Mytilus edulis: one gene and its partner. The protein of the gene in region 2 interacts with the protein of the main gene of each other region in a biochemical or structural test. Links are inferred from orthologs where the notes say so. Each region holds a gene or a part of one and is shown on either strand. Other genes may lie near its edges.

The links.
Region 1: of the proteins of poly [ADP-ribose] polymerase 1-like (region 2) and E3 ubiquitin-protein ligase CHFR-like, one has a biochemical effect on the other in vitro, tested with the Homo sapiens proteins (2 studies listed by BioGRID). The link is inferred for Mytilus edulis from reciprocal best matches to the Homo sapiens genes PARP1 and CHFR.

The regions. Positions count from the first base shown.
Region 1 is NC_092349.1:44,145,265-44,152,695, forward strand, and holds the start of E3 ubiquitin-protein ligase CHFR-like, read left to right. Parts: upstream 1-4,426; 5' UTR 4,427-4,497; coding exon 4,498-4,597; intron 4,598-7,396; coding exon 7,397-7,431. UniProt on the Homo sapiens protein: E3 ubiquitin-protein ligase that functions in the antephase checkpoint by actively delaying passage into mitosis in response to microtubule poisons.
Region 2 is NC_092346.1:99,417,922-99,426,000, reverse strand, and holds the start of poly [ADP-ribose] polymerase 1-like, read left to right. Parts: upstream 1-4,988; 5' UTR 4,989-5,117; coding exon 5,118-5,222; intron 5,223-8,079. UniProt on the Homo sapiens protein: Poly-ADP-ribosyltransferase that mediates poly-ADP-ribosylation of proteins and plays a key role in DNA repair.

The DNA.
Region 1 (7,431 bases), on a different chromosome or scaffold from region 2:
GAGCATGAAGGTTATAATTTCAAATGGTTTAACTATGTAAAATCTGTGTTTAATGACTGTGGCTTTTGTGAAATATATAATGTTCCGGAGCAAGTTGATTATAATTATATTAAAACTAATGTGAGGCAGCGTCTCCAGGACCAGTTTATTCAAAAATGGTTCTCTGATATAGATAACTCATCAAGGGGGAATTTTATTTACACTTTAAGAAGAGTTTTGCTTAGAACCATATCTGTTAAAATTAAGGCGGGGTCATAGAGTAAATATATGTAAATTAAGGGTATGTAATACAAAGTTTCCCATTGAAACAGGAAGATGGAGAAATGTACCACGAAATGAGAGAATTTGTCCTCTTTGTAAAGCTGGTCTTGTGGATGTGTACCACTATATATGTATATGTACCAATTATAAAGTTAAAGATTTAAGGGGGAAGTTCATACCTCCTTATTATTTAAAATATACAACTGTTAAAAAAGTACTGGGCATGCTTAAATATTGTAATAATAATGTGCTGTCTAAGCTGTCAATTTTTATTCAAAAGGTAGAAAAGATGCTTGTCTGATTTAAAACTGCAATAAACAAAGATTTATCTCTGAAGATGTATAATTTAAAAATGTATTCTGTTTGTATTATGAAATATGTTGTGATTTATATTGTGCATAATATGCTCCTGTTACGCAGTCTTCTCAATGCGGCTGAGTTTTCTTTAATAAACTAAACTAAACAAAAGTATCATTTAGCACCATATGATCACAGCTCTTTCTAATAACTCCATCTTCATATAAGGTTATTGTTTAAATATCAAACCTACATTTAAACAAAGAGACTAGACATTAATGCAACACATATTCAAAAGTCTTTCTCATTAATAGAGGATGGATCGAAAAGTCTAATAGTAGCAGGCGCGGATCTAGAATTAAAAGTGTCTTTTTTTAATCATTTTGAAAATTATAGAAGTTGTCGTGTTATACCAAACCTTATGTTTTTCAATAAGTGGCACACTTTTTTGTTCATCCGGCATATTGTTACTCAAAATAAACGTTTAAGATTAGTTAAATCATCTAATTACAGATAAAAATACTTCAATATAAGAAAATGGCAAAGATTGAATTTACAAAGTTTTCCTGAAAGTCTATTGTTTATGATTTCATCCTTCTGTTTAATATAGGCTCTAGCATACTGATCGATCATTGCTCTTTTGTCAATATCAGTGCTGATATCACAAAGCTTTTAAGCAAGGCAATTGAGTCATGAAAATCATGAAAATTGCGATTTTTATTGTGAACGACTCGCGGTGTAATATTTTAGGAGTTTGAGAGAGTTGAAAGTCTTGTGCTTTTAATAAGTCTTCTTGTTTGGTGGTATTTATTTTTTCATGAGATTTACACTCACCATTTACTTTTACCAAACTCTCAACCGGTTTCTTAACAAACTGTCCGAGGTTGTGGTCACTGAGTAGCGAACAAAACGCAAACTTTGCAGTAAATTCTGTCCTATGAAGTTGAATTGTTTTAGCCGTCATGGCGTTGTCAGATTATTTTCGATTAATGAGTTTGACTGCCCCTCTGGTATCTTTCGACCCTCTCTTGAGCACTATAGTACAGATGTGGAAATAAAATTTGCAATCATATCCTTAGATTCTGCAGATGCAAAATCAAATTTGTTTTTTATAAAATCTTAGGGTTTACTAGTAAAGGTAGTGTGCTGCATAAGAATATTGTTCTATATACAACTTGAAAACTTGTTTTACTTAATAAATATATTGCAGAATGGCAAACGAAAATTTTGTCACAGAGGAATGGTAACAAGCTTCGTACTTGTAAGCTATATCAATCACAATATTGAACAGAGTTATATTTAAATCAAAATATGTCTATCAAATTTAGAAGTGCTTATGCAAACTTTTGATGTATATGTGACGTTGTGCCACTTAAAATAGAAACAGAACGATATGATGAGAAGTATTAAACCAATAAATGAGAGATCTTGTTTTATGTGTAAAAATAAAATTGATGTCTTTACTTTATGTCATTTATATATGCAGACCTTCGAAACATATTGTACATAGTGAAGCAGTAAATCATAATAATCACTTAATTTTATAACATGTCTATAATTGACGAAAAATTTATATTTTATTCCGAGAAATGAAGAACTATGTCAGGTAGTTAATTGCTTAAACCTAGCTGCTTCAATATTTTATACAGAAGAACACATTTCTTGTTTGTATATAGCTGAAACAGAAAGTACTGATCGAAGCAGTTATCAAAATAATGTTTATTAATGATATAATAAGTAAATCTTCATTCCGCAATCCCATTGCCTTGAATAATACTAATAAAAAAAAAAACAGAAACAATCACTGAATCCTTATAATTCTGCGATGAATGCTGTTTTGATATACAAATGTTCTGTAATAACAAAACGTTATTATTATTTTTTTTAAATATTAGAACTTGCTTTTTTTTGTCTTTCTTTATCATTGAAAAGATTATATAATAACATACTGTTACACATTTTGTTTTATTCTTGATTTATATTATCCGATTATCTACTGATTTGTAACATTAATGATTGAAGTAGATATTTGTATGTTAGAAGATTAAGATAAGGTCCCTTCTAATGTATAAAGGTGTTATTATGCTGCTTATTCTGTGGTTCTTAGCATTGTTATCCCATTTATCATAGTGTATGTGTGCTATAGTATGTGATGTACCATTAACTATACAGTTCTAGTGTTGTAAACGTGATTTGAAAATGGTATATGTAGATCAAACAATGAATATAATTAAACACTTGTAAATTAAGAAGACCGGGCTATCGTTTTGAATGTTATTAATAATACCGCACAAATACAGCACATACATAGGAAGTCTTTTACAGAAATGGATATATACTCTATTGAATACTTATCACAAAGGTATCAGCATTTTGCATGAGCTCATAAAATATGGTTGAAAGATACTCTAGCGGTAGATAAAAATGTGGGAGGATTATGATTTTATGTACATTTCTTTTTCAAATGTGGTGAAGAGTTGTGCAAAGACTAAATGGGTTATACTTGCGGGCACACATTTTTAAAACTGCTGTGAAAATATGTTGTTGTTTAAATGTTAACATGGTTAAAGAAGACGAGGAAGACACCATGAGCAACAGGAACCCTCTCATAAAACAAGGAGATGATCTAAGGTGTTCAAGGAGGGTCAGCAGGTGTTATTGGTTAAATAGCTTGATGAGTCATATCCAGTATAATCACATTAGAAACATGTTGGTATATGTTAGGTATACCAATATCTTTTTAATTCTCTTATCTTATATTTCACCAAATGTGAAAGTTTTAAATGAAATCAGGTTTGCCATTTCTGTGTGATGGATACTACTGCTTTAAAAACTCATTTGTAGACAACACAGATATGAAATAATAAGGATCAAATCACACAGCATTGACAAATTTTTTTTGGGAAAAAAATACATGTACTATGAATCGTACAAGGAGAGGTAGAACATGTGGTATGGGCTTTACTCATAGTTGAAGGCCGTCAGGTGACTTATAACTGTTATTTTTTTTGAAATTTGGTTGAGCTTTGTCTCATAAGCAGTCATACCACTTCGCCTTTATTTAAAATCTTAATTTATGATTTAGATGGTACACAGTCAAACAAATCATAAAGGCGTCACGAAAACGTTCGAATGTTCCCATTTAAGGGATATTTGATTAAAATATTATGCAAGCCATGTATTATGGAAACACAATCCTTAGAACGTAGTATCAACTGCAAATAGCAATTCGAAGAACGAAATGAATATCAACAGAGCTATGTTTTAGTAAATTTTAGATAAATAATTTTTTTACATTTTTGGCGGCCATTTTGAAATGTCCGCCATTTAAATTTATTTTTAAAGTTTTAAATACCGCCTTGACTTACTTGAAACGTTGAATTACATTTGTTATGCTTTAAAAATATTAGAATTGAATATTATTTGCTGTAATCTTGAAAATGGCCGCCATATTGGATTTTTCAGGGTGGGTCCATATAGCTTAAATTGACAACCATATATAGATCTACCATTGTGCAAAGTTTCATGCTTTTATCATCAAACCCACAATTCTTTTGAAAAAATGCACGAATCAGCTGGACTAATATATCATTAGTCGGACAAGCGTATGGATGTAATTAATACGCGTTAGTTTGTTATCAAACTGTGTATTGACCTTTTAATTTTAGAATAATAGAGTTCAAATGTATCAATATTCATGTTGTAAGTTATTGTCATTTTGACGTAAATGTTTTTAAACCAATGGGACGATACGATTTATTTTCCGATTATCTCTGATATTTACTCATTTGATATGGTAAAGTCCCAACAGGTTCGAATAAGATCTTCCCAGCATATTAGCATTGGTTTCCCTCCCCCTTACTTATATTCCCCTGTTTGGGCAGATATCTAGAGACTTTGAGTCAGACCTGCACAATTTTAGGTGAATCAGTTTTAAGCATGGATGCAGATGCATGGGGACAGCTTGTCAGCTTGACAGATATCGATACTGAACCAATAATGCTAGCGTCAGACTCATTTACCATCGGAAGGGCAAAAGGTGGGGGAGATAAATGTAACTGAAACGTAAACATCAGTCAAGTTCGTTTTTTCCCGTTTATGGGTTTCTAAAACTGAGAACACACCTAAACTTTCTTCTTTTTATACAAAAAAAAAACCAACCCTCAACTCATTGTTCTCTTTCTTCGACTATTCAAAACAAACACATTGTAGTCTGTTGTTATTTATGTATTATTGTCATTTTGTTTATTTTCTTTGGTTACATCTTCTGACATCAGACTCAGACTTCTCTTGAACTGAATTTTAATGTGCGTATTGTTATGCGTTTACTTTTCTACATTGGTTAGAGGTATAGGGGGAGGGTTGAGATCTCACAAACATGTTTAACCCCGCCGCATTTTTGCGCCTGTCCCAAGTCAGGACCCTCTGGCCTTTGTTAGTCTTGTATTATTTTAATTTTAGTTTCTTGTGTACAATTTGGAAATTAGTATGGCGTTCATTATCACTGGACTAGTATATATTTGTTTAGGGGCCAGCTGAGGGACGCCTCCGGGTGCGGGAATTTCTCGCTACATTGAAGACCTGTTGGTGACCCTCTGCTGTTGTTTTTTATTTGGTCGGGTTGTTGTCTCTTTGACACATTCCCCATTTCCATTCTCAATTTTACTAATATGAGGCAGGCATTATCTGTGAAATGGGGAGAAGTGTGTATGAATAATTTTTTAAAATTCAAACATGTTAAAAAAAGAAACGGAAACACCGTAATGTTTCTGGATTTGGTTCTGTTGTTAGGGATTTAGTTGTGATGTTATTTAAGTTAAGACATCATATTTAATGTAAACAAAGACTGATCGAAAGAAACGCTTTCATCAGGTAACGTTCATATAGAACGATTATTAAAAATGAATTGGTATTGAGTTCCAATCCTTTATTTTACTATACTGATAAATATATATTTTTTTCAAAGTCTCATGCATACAAGACTGGGAAAAGGAAGTAGATTTCTGCGTAAATGCAGGGATTTAAAAAAGTTTGAAAAAAAGTTCTATATATATAAATTGAACATATTGAAAAATTCTGGAAATTTTCCTGATTTTTGTTTTATTTTGTTTTTTTACCCCACTTCCATGTTGAGCAAGGGATATATATATATACAGATATATATTTGTTTCCTAACCAGTTCATTTAGGGGTCCTCTTCATGGTCTGAGTTAACGTTTCGACTATGTTTATTTCTTTGAGAAATTAGAGACAATAATTAAGATTTTAATAACTAAATTTTCAAGTGTTGGGAGAAATTTCAGGATAAACACAATATATGTACATTGTCAGAAAATATAAAATCATGATGTATAGAAGATGTGGTATGATTGCCAATTAAACAACTGTGAGTCTGTCCACAAGAGACCAAAATGACACAGACATTAACAACTATAGGTCACCGTATGGCCTTTAATAATGAGCAAAGCCCATACTGCATAGTCAGCTATAAAAGGCTATGATATCAAAATTCAACAAGAAAACCAACGGCCTTATTTATATAAAAAAATGAATGATTAAAAAATATGTTATAGATAAACAAACGACAACAACTGAATTACAGCCTCCATAAAAAATGTGGAGTGGTTAAACATGTTAGCAGGATCCCAACCCCCCCTTAAATGGGACAGTGGTATAACAGCACAACATCAATGAACATAAGAAGACAGGGGATTTTCTTACATGTCTTATTTAATCAATTAAATTGAAACAAACACAAGTCTGTAAGAGAACCTTACTAGACTGTAGTGATGAATTACCATAAGCAAGGCTTTAGAAGGTAAAATTGTTCAGAAAAATCCTGTTTAACTTGGTATCAGGTTGATTCACTCTGATTACATACATGTACATAATCATGTAATATTCCACTGGATCTGTTTGCCCTAAGTACATTTGCCCTGGGTTCTTTCTCGCTTTTTTAATTCTTCTACTACAGTGTCAGTTGTATTTACATGATTTAGGTTTAAATTGAACTTATTCATGTTATTCAAATATTTATATAAATATGATCAATACAAAAGAAAATATCTTATATTCTCGAAAATTTGCTCATTTAACCTTGATAACCATGATAACTAATTGTTCAATTCAATGAATATATTTTTGATCAACCATGGAAAATCAATGAAACAAGACTTTTAAGGGATAAACTATGCTGTAATAACAAGGCTTAGTCATCACAGGCATATAACTATATATTATCAGATAATATAAGACACTTTGGTATTACTTGGAAGATTAATCGTGCGCATAAGTTATGAGGCATACCTTCATGCTCTGATCATTAATTCTTACAATAAATTAATGTACATAAGATGTATCTAATATGTGTAGAGATGTAGAGAAACTGTAAAAACATCCTTTAGATATTATAGGCATGTATTTTCTATAATAACATAGGTGTACTTATCTGCTTATGCATGATTGACAACCTAAATGAACTAAGTTATCTTTCTTAAGTTTATTATACATAAAGACAATAATAATATCAATAGAACTTGTTTACCATTTAACAAAATGAACGATGTATATTGTGCCTTTGAAACCTGTAACATACAAATGTTATCACAGTTTTCTGATTTTTTTTAGTCCAAGATTAAAAACGCACATGTTATTTTTCTCCAATAACTTATTTACTTGTTATATGTAGCAAAACAAATTGATTGTTTTTTTTTAAATGTACAATGATGCATATTTTTACCTTCTAGTACATGGATTAAGGCTGTGAGATTGTTGATACAAATAAGTTTGTAATGGTTATAATCAAATAAAATGTAACTTTTTTGCTTATAATATTGTAGACTGTGATTTACCATATACTGACAACAAGCTTGTG
Region 2 (8,079 bases):
AAAATTGAATTTTGTCTCACAAAAATCAATTTTGTCTCACAAAAGTCAATTTTGTCTCACAAAAGTTAATTTTGTCTCACAAAAGTCAATTTTGTCTCACAAAATTGAATCTTACCTCACACAATTGACTTTTGTGATTTAATTTCCATATCAGGTAACAAAAGTCAATTTTGTATGCAAATATGTTTATATTTGCATACCTTTTAGACAAAATTGACTTTTGTCATGACAAATATGAATTTTGTCTACAAAAATGAATTTTGTCATGACAAAAAATAATTTTGTCATCACAAAATTGAAGTTCTCACAAAACAAGTCTGTAGCACATAGTTTTGTAAGACAAAAATGATTTTGTTATGACAGAATTGAATTTTGTACAAAACTACAAGAGTCCCATTCGGCGCCCCGTAAACCCTACCCCTAACCCTTTATCAATTTCCCTTTAAACAGACAATTTGAAATGAACCAAAAGACAATGGACTGTTATTATTCCTTGTTTTACTCAAAAAAAGATTTAGTCAATAAAGCAGTATAAAAGTGAACTTAATTTCAAGATCGGACATCCATAAAATAAGTAAAACTCAACTTTAATCGGCCTAAACTTCTAAAAGGTAAATTTTGAAAATCACAAAAGTTCAAATTCTAAGAAGTTGTCCATCTACGTACGTTAAAAAATGAATTTTAACGTTTAATATCCTGCAAGATTACATATAGTTTAGTATCTTTTGTCAATTCGACAAAAGATAAGAAAAACGGCATAATATATATAAAAAAAAATAAACCAACAAACGACAACCACAGACTCCTGACTTGGGGAAAGGCACATACCGAATGTGGCGGTGTTAAACTAGTTTGTTCGCGCCAAACCCTCCCATATCCTGGGACAGTACAACTTAAGAACAAACTATACAAAACAATAAACGAAAAACAAAAATGAGAAACAGAAAAAAGCGACAACCACTCAATAACATGCAAAAAAGCGACAACCACTTATTAACATGCACCTGACTTGGGAGAGGGCACATATAATATAGAATGTTGTGAGCTTAAACTAGTCTGACGGCACTAACCCACCCCTAACCCGGGAAGTTATGTAACAGTACAACATAAGAAAAAAAAATCAGTTAGAAAAGGTCTTTTGAACTCATCAGATGGATACAAATAGAAATACATCTAACGAAAACACATAGTGGACCTGACAGGGTATTAACACATCGCCCCTCACCCCCCCCCCCCCCCCAAAAAAAAAAAAGTAGTCGTAGTGGTTAACAGCTAGTTCAAAGCAAATATCAATTAATGAAAAAATCATGCATCTAAGATGAAGATATCAATACAGATCCAACGTCCAACGGATTTAGTATAAAGACGTCATTAACAGTTATTGAAAAAAACATGACCTTGCGCAATGCCAATATACAGGTATCGACAGATTGTTGAGTCATAAATGTGCATATCACGGTATGTATATAAAAGTGATATTTAGTCTGATTTTAATTAATTTATTGAATACAAAATCAATAGTAATACCAATAAAAACAACAATCAAAGATTCAAGTACAGTCAGTGTTGCATTGGTAACCTTTTTGAATGAATCTATTTGAAATGATCGATAGGTTTATCCGGATCGTTTCTAAATTTTCTATTTCGGTAAACAACATCCCACAAAATGTTTAACAAGTTTCTACATGCGCAACTAAACTTCAAAACCATATCTTTCTGTGGAAGAATTTATTAAAGGTTTTAAGTGATTTGTGGTTACGAAACCCCCGACTAGACTAGTGTACGTTCATTGAAGTCAAAAACGTCACGACAGACACGGACATAGTAAACGAGTTGCGATATATAAACACCGTAAATGGTGAAAGGGACACCAACGTCCAAACAAAAGTGGAAAATTAACAATAGGGATTGAAAAATTGTCCCTTTTGTCATAAATTTTAAATTGACTAGTTTCCCATGTAAAACTGAAATATCGTTACTCTAAGAAAGGACAGTTATAGTTTTTATATTATGAATTTAAAGTAAGTTCCTTATGGTAAAAGTTGACAGTATATTTAGAAAATTCTTGATTATTTAACAAAAAATAGCATCAAAATAAGATCTGATAACGGTAAGTGTTTTTGAATATATAAATTAAATGCAATTTAGACAGGTCTTTACTCATAAACTGTTATTCATAAAAGTACAAGAATAATTCTGCTATTAAAGGGACGTAATTGGTGCCCATATGAATACATGCAGCCTGTCGATTAACTTTATTGCCGAACCGTACACGAATATATTCAAGGAGAAAATTAACAGCCTCAATCATCTCACCACACCGCTGTAGGAAGTATATCTATTAAGCATATTTACATTTCTCATTAGATACAAAGGCTGTTATTGAGTTGCAGCAACTATATTTGCGTTCAGATTTACCAAAGACACATATGTTCCATTGTACAAAATTATACTGTATAGATATAAGTAATACGGGCGCCGAATGGGACTCTTGCATGTGGTTTTGTACTCGAAATTCAATTTTGTACAGACAAAAGTGAGTTTTGTTAAACAAAAATGAGTTCAGTTTAACAAAATTTGTAGCATACTACAAATTTAAAATTTTGTCATACAAAATTATCTTTCAGTGGCCAAAAGTTACTTTTGTCATGACAAAATTCATTTTTGTAACACAGACTACCTAATTTGAAAATTGGGCGACAAAAGTCAATTTTGTATGCAAATTAGTTTAGTTTGGATTCTGTGAACGAATTTGCATACACAACTGATATTAAGTTACAAAATTCAATGTTGTGCCACAAGAGTCAATTTTTGTGTCACAAAAGTCAATTTTGTCACAAAAGTCATTTTTGTCACAAAAGTCCATGTTCAGTGTGTCACAAAAGTCAATTTTGTCTACACAAAAATAATTTTGTAAATTCATTTTTGTCACAAAAGTAAATTTTGTATGTAAATAAGTTTATATTTGCATACCTATTTGACAAAATTTAATTTTTGTCATGACAAAAATGATTATTGTAATGATTTTTGTCTACAAAAATGAATTTTGTTTACAAAAATGAATTTTGTTTACAAAAATGAATTTTGTCATCACAAAATTGAAGTTCTCATAAAACAAGTCTGTATCACATAGTTTTGTAAGACAAAAATGATTTTGTCATGACAGAATTGAATTTTGAACAAAACCACAAGACTCCCGTTCAGCGCCCCGTAAGTAATGACTATGTTCTAAAAATCTAAAATTGAATATACATCTAGTATTTCTATAAACTAGATTGACGGATATTTTGTATGCGTTTTGGAGGTAGAAGAATAATTGGAATATCGTTTTCCAATACTTGTATTTCATTTCCCGTCCTTCATGAGACAAAATTCAGTCCATGACAATCTGACTGTAAAATATAGTCTCATTTTACAAATCATTCATCTGTGAAATATTGTCTTTAAACAGACAGAATTTCACAATGATGAAGATATGTCCTTCTCTGGAGATAATTTCATAAATGAGGAAAATATTTCATGATACCATAGATGGGTATTACATGATAAATACATCTATGTTTTAGATACATAGTTATGACTGAAGTCCCAATGAATATAGTCACTCCTGGTGGACAATATTTCATACGGACAGTATTTAGCTTTACATATACCCTTATTACCGAATTTCTTAGTTCATACGTTATTCTTTTTAAATGTAAACTTAGTATAACAAAGTCCAAACATCTCACGACACAAGTCAGATCAGAAAACGGAGCTATTAAATGGCACGACTATAGACACGACTATATTTGGAGTAAGATATATAGTAAGAAGACCCGTTTTTCTTTCCTTTCCAAAACCGGTAAGCTTAAAAGTATAATACCAAGACTAATTTTGTAGAGTTTTATGGTATTTTAAGTGCTATTCCAAATAGATGGAAATTAAAGTAGGATAGAAGGTAGTTCTAGACTTGATAATATTGAAAATAAATTAGTAGATAAAGTTAAAAAAGAACCAAAATCTTGTAAATTTTTCTATAATTTATTTCTGGAGGATAATAAAGTATTATCACTATCTTCCCGTAACAAATGGGAAATAGACTTAAATATACAGATTGAAGATTGGAATGCTATTTATTCCATGCCCTTCATTATAACAAGAAATTCGTTTTTACAAAATTTTCAATTTAAGATTGTTCATAGAATTTTACCATGTAATTACTTTTTATATAAATGTAAATTAAAAGAAACTGAACTTTGTACATTTTGTTCAGAAGTTAGAGAAAATATTTTTCACATTTTTTGGGAATGTAATGTAACAAAAAACTTCTGGTTTTCCATTATAGATTGGATTAGAAATTATGACATCTTCTTGCCTTTTAGTGCAAAAGAGGTCATTTTAGGTGTGTCTGAGGATTTTGTCAACAGTAAAACAGTTAATAATATTTTGTTGTTACTTAAATACTATATATACAAATGTAGATGTAAGAGCGTATTGCCCACAAAATATGGTGGGATAGAATATCTAAAGTATTGGATCAAAATAGAAAAATACTCTGTATGTTTCTTAACCCCTACACAAAAAATAAAATTGGATCAGAAGTGGCAATTGTTAGAAGCAGCATTAAATTAACAAAATCAATTGTAATATTTATATCTTATTATACCATTATGATTTAATTGACCTTACAAGTGTTATTTAACTTTTTATACTTGTGTCTAATACTGTATTATGTAATTTCACATGTTTCATCTTCAAAAATAAAATAATTATAAAAAAAAAGAAGACCCGTTTTTCTTTCCTTTCCAAAACCGGTAAGTTTTTAAGATTTATTTTTTTTGGCGGGAAAGCTGTGTATAGTTGAAAACCAAAAACAGAATACAGAATACAAAAATAACAAACATAAATAAGGTTGTTAATGAATAGAAGGCATACCATTTTCCCTTTTGAATATATACTTTTTCTAAAATTATCATTTTCATCTTACAGTGATATTAAAGATTACCAGAGAGTGTCATATGCAGTTTATATTTTAATCGAACTTATGAAGTGCTTTGCGGTTTTTAGTTATTTTTTTAATGCAACGCTCAGCAAAAAGCAAAACGTGTGGGAAAGTGTAAACAAATGCTGTAAGAATGAGCGATTTCAAAGCAGAATATGCAAAAAGTGGGAGAGCGTCATGCAAAGGCTGCAAAGCAACAATCGGTCAGGAGTCTTTGAGACTTGCATTAATGGTTCAGGTATAACTGATAAATATATATTTGTTTACACCCAGAAATTGGCAGAATTTACCCTGGCTGATCCACCCAGAGAACAAACGATGTACACATCTTTTAAACTTTTCATCAAATAAGAGACACTTGTCACTGCTATAAACTAATTTGTTGAATTACTTTTTTTTAACTTGAAACTACAAACATGTACAAGTCGTCAATTGTGCATAAATTCCTTTAGTCTTCCGATTTACGGAGATGTTACAAGTAAACGAAAAGTTAACAATTTTCTGGACTACTAATTCTTTTACCAAAATAGAAGATAAGGTTCTTTTGAAAAAATGTTCCATTTACTAAACTATAGGGTATTGTGCAATTTAAGTTTTATACACCTTATGCATCAAAAGTCAGTGTTCCAGCTAGGCCGTTTTCAGAGGGCGCGGCGCCCGCCCCTTTCCGAGTGGCGCCCTGTGCCCTTTTTACAGTTTCCAGGGCGCCCTGCCTTTTTTGAAGATCGATTGCATATTAATTTGCGTATTGATATGATACGCTAATTACTAAATTTTACCTGGGGAAAAGATTATGACTTTGTTTACCACCCAAGCTAATCAATGGTTACAACTGGTGTCATAATCTGTTGTTATAGGTAATCCGTTTATCGGATGGGTCATTAATGATCATCAACATTAATTCGTTCAAATAGAATCGGTCAGTCGGCAATTATCTTTGAAGAAATGTGCATACAACAACTTGGGCACAATTTGCGATGTTTACCGTAGTTTCATGGAAGAAACGTAATGACAGAAAGTTGGAAAACCATTATTAACTCGTTGAAGACATTGTTTTATTTGTTTTCTGTAAAATAAACAGAAAATTCAGACGTATTTGTCATTGACTGCCTTCATTTTTGATACGAAAATAACAAAATCGGCGGCCATATTGTGATCATATTTACATCATATTTACGTACTGTTTATAATCCTCCAAAGAAGGAGCACACCCGAATAAAGAAAGATAACTCAATCTGATTTTTTTCTTAGCATTGAGTAACCCATTTACATATTCTAAAATGTGTCTCCATACTTCTTGCTTAATATATATGTTTAGGTATTTATTTTGAGTTATGGGAAAAGTTAAAGAGGGTCTTAGTAGCAGTGTTGGTAGGGTGCCTTGGTCATCTTTTTCTGTATTCTTTATTTTTGATACTATTTTTCACTGTTGCTTTATATCCTAAAATTGTGAATTTACTGAGCACAGCTGTTTTGTGCTGTATTGCCATCAAGCACAGCAGGGGTAGACTGAAGGTGAAACTGGTAAAATGTGGTAGACCATAGAAACAGTATGAAACAGATCTCCTTTCAAAACATACTGCATATAAAGTTCAACTGTGCCAAGCAATGATAAAAAAAAACTTGTGTGACAAGCTGCTTGACAAGTTTTTCAGCCTTAAAAGTAGAAAGATAGAGTTCTATATGGGCTAAAGATGTTGTTCTTGTATAACCTGTGATTCAACGAATAAACACAAATGTTTGATTAACATCTTTTATTAAAATATGCCCTTTTCATATTATCTTTTCGCGCGTTAAATGCCCTTTTTCAGGATTGGCACCCTGCCCTTTTGAAAACCTAGCTGGAACACTGAAAGTTCAAGCAGCCGGGTCAGCCGGGATTAGCGATAAGGTGTATTGTTTATAAACAATAGATGTTAAAAAAATCATCACTTATATCTTCCTCTGACCTATGAGGGTGGTAAAGAGGGGCCCTGAACACGGAAACACGTGAAATAAAAATCGGAAAAATAGAAGCACAAGAATTAAATCAGCCGTTCTTATCAGGTAGTCATTTATAATGGACATGATGAACCTGCAGTCCGCACCGTTTAGCGTTTGCTTTACTAGTTACAACTGATTTGAATAAAAAATATTATTCATAATAATTAAAATGATAGCAATTTAAAATTTTCTTGGAACATATAATTTGAAAATTCTCCTGACCGACTTTAAATTTTCCCGGTTTTAATATTTTGGAAAATGACGCTATCAGCAGCATGTTTCCGATACAATTGACCAGAACTAAAGGAAGTTGATTATATTTCCGCCTACAGCACTCGGTTTCATATTTACTATTTTACATACTAACTGGAATCTGCTTGTATTACGCTACACTCGAACAAAGTGTAGAAGTCAGACGGGAACCAGTTTACATACTTTATTCTCCAAAATTGGACCTTCCAGAGGGGTGCGGTCTATAGAGTACAATAAGCAAGAAATAAGAGATAAAGTTCAATTTTGCGGCAAGGTGGTTTGTTTACGTTCCGCCATCTTTGTTATTGATATTGTAGAGGGCGCTCTCATCATTTTTCAAACTAATAATTTTAACACGCCCTTATTAATAAGTTCTTTCTATTCAATATCAAATTAATACTGATAAATATAAAAACTAAACCGTTCAATACAAATTTCTCGTTTCTTTTCAATGCATTGGTTGAAATAAACTGGTATCTGCTTGATTGAAATGATATAAACATAGTAAAAAAGACAACCGTAAACCAACTTAGAATTTGTAAACTACAAAATGTAATCGGTTATTGTTCATTCCGTTTTGGTGTTTCATACTGACTAATATGGTTTGTATTTGCTTAAGACCCTTCAAACATTAATGTGATAGGTATATTTAAGACTGTTTTACAAAAGGATGGAAGTGTTTAACTTTCAAAGTCGTATTATATTGATATCTGTCATGTACAGATTTTGACTCTCACCGGTTAATTTCTTCTTTTACACATGCTTTTTAAACTTCCTGTTTAAACATACACAAGTTTCTAAATTGTTTTTTAAGTGAATTAAACTTGTTTTAACAATCATGAAGCGTTCTAGAATCATTT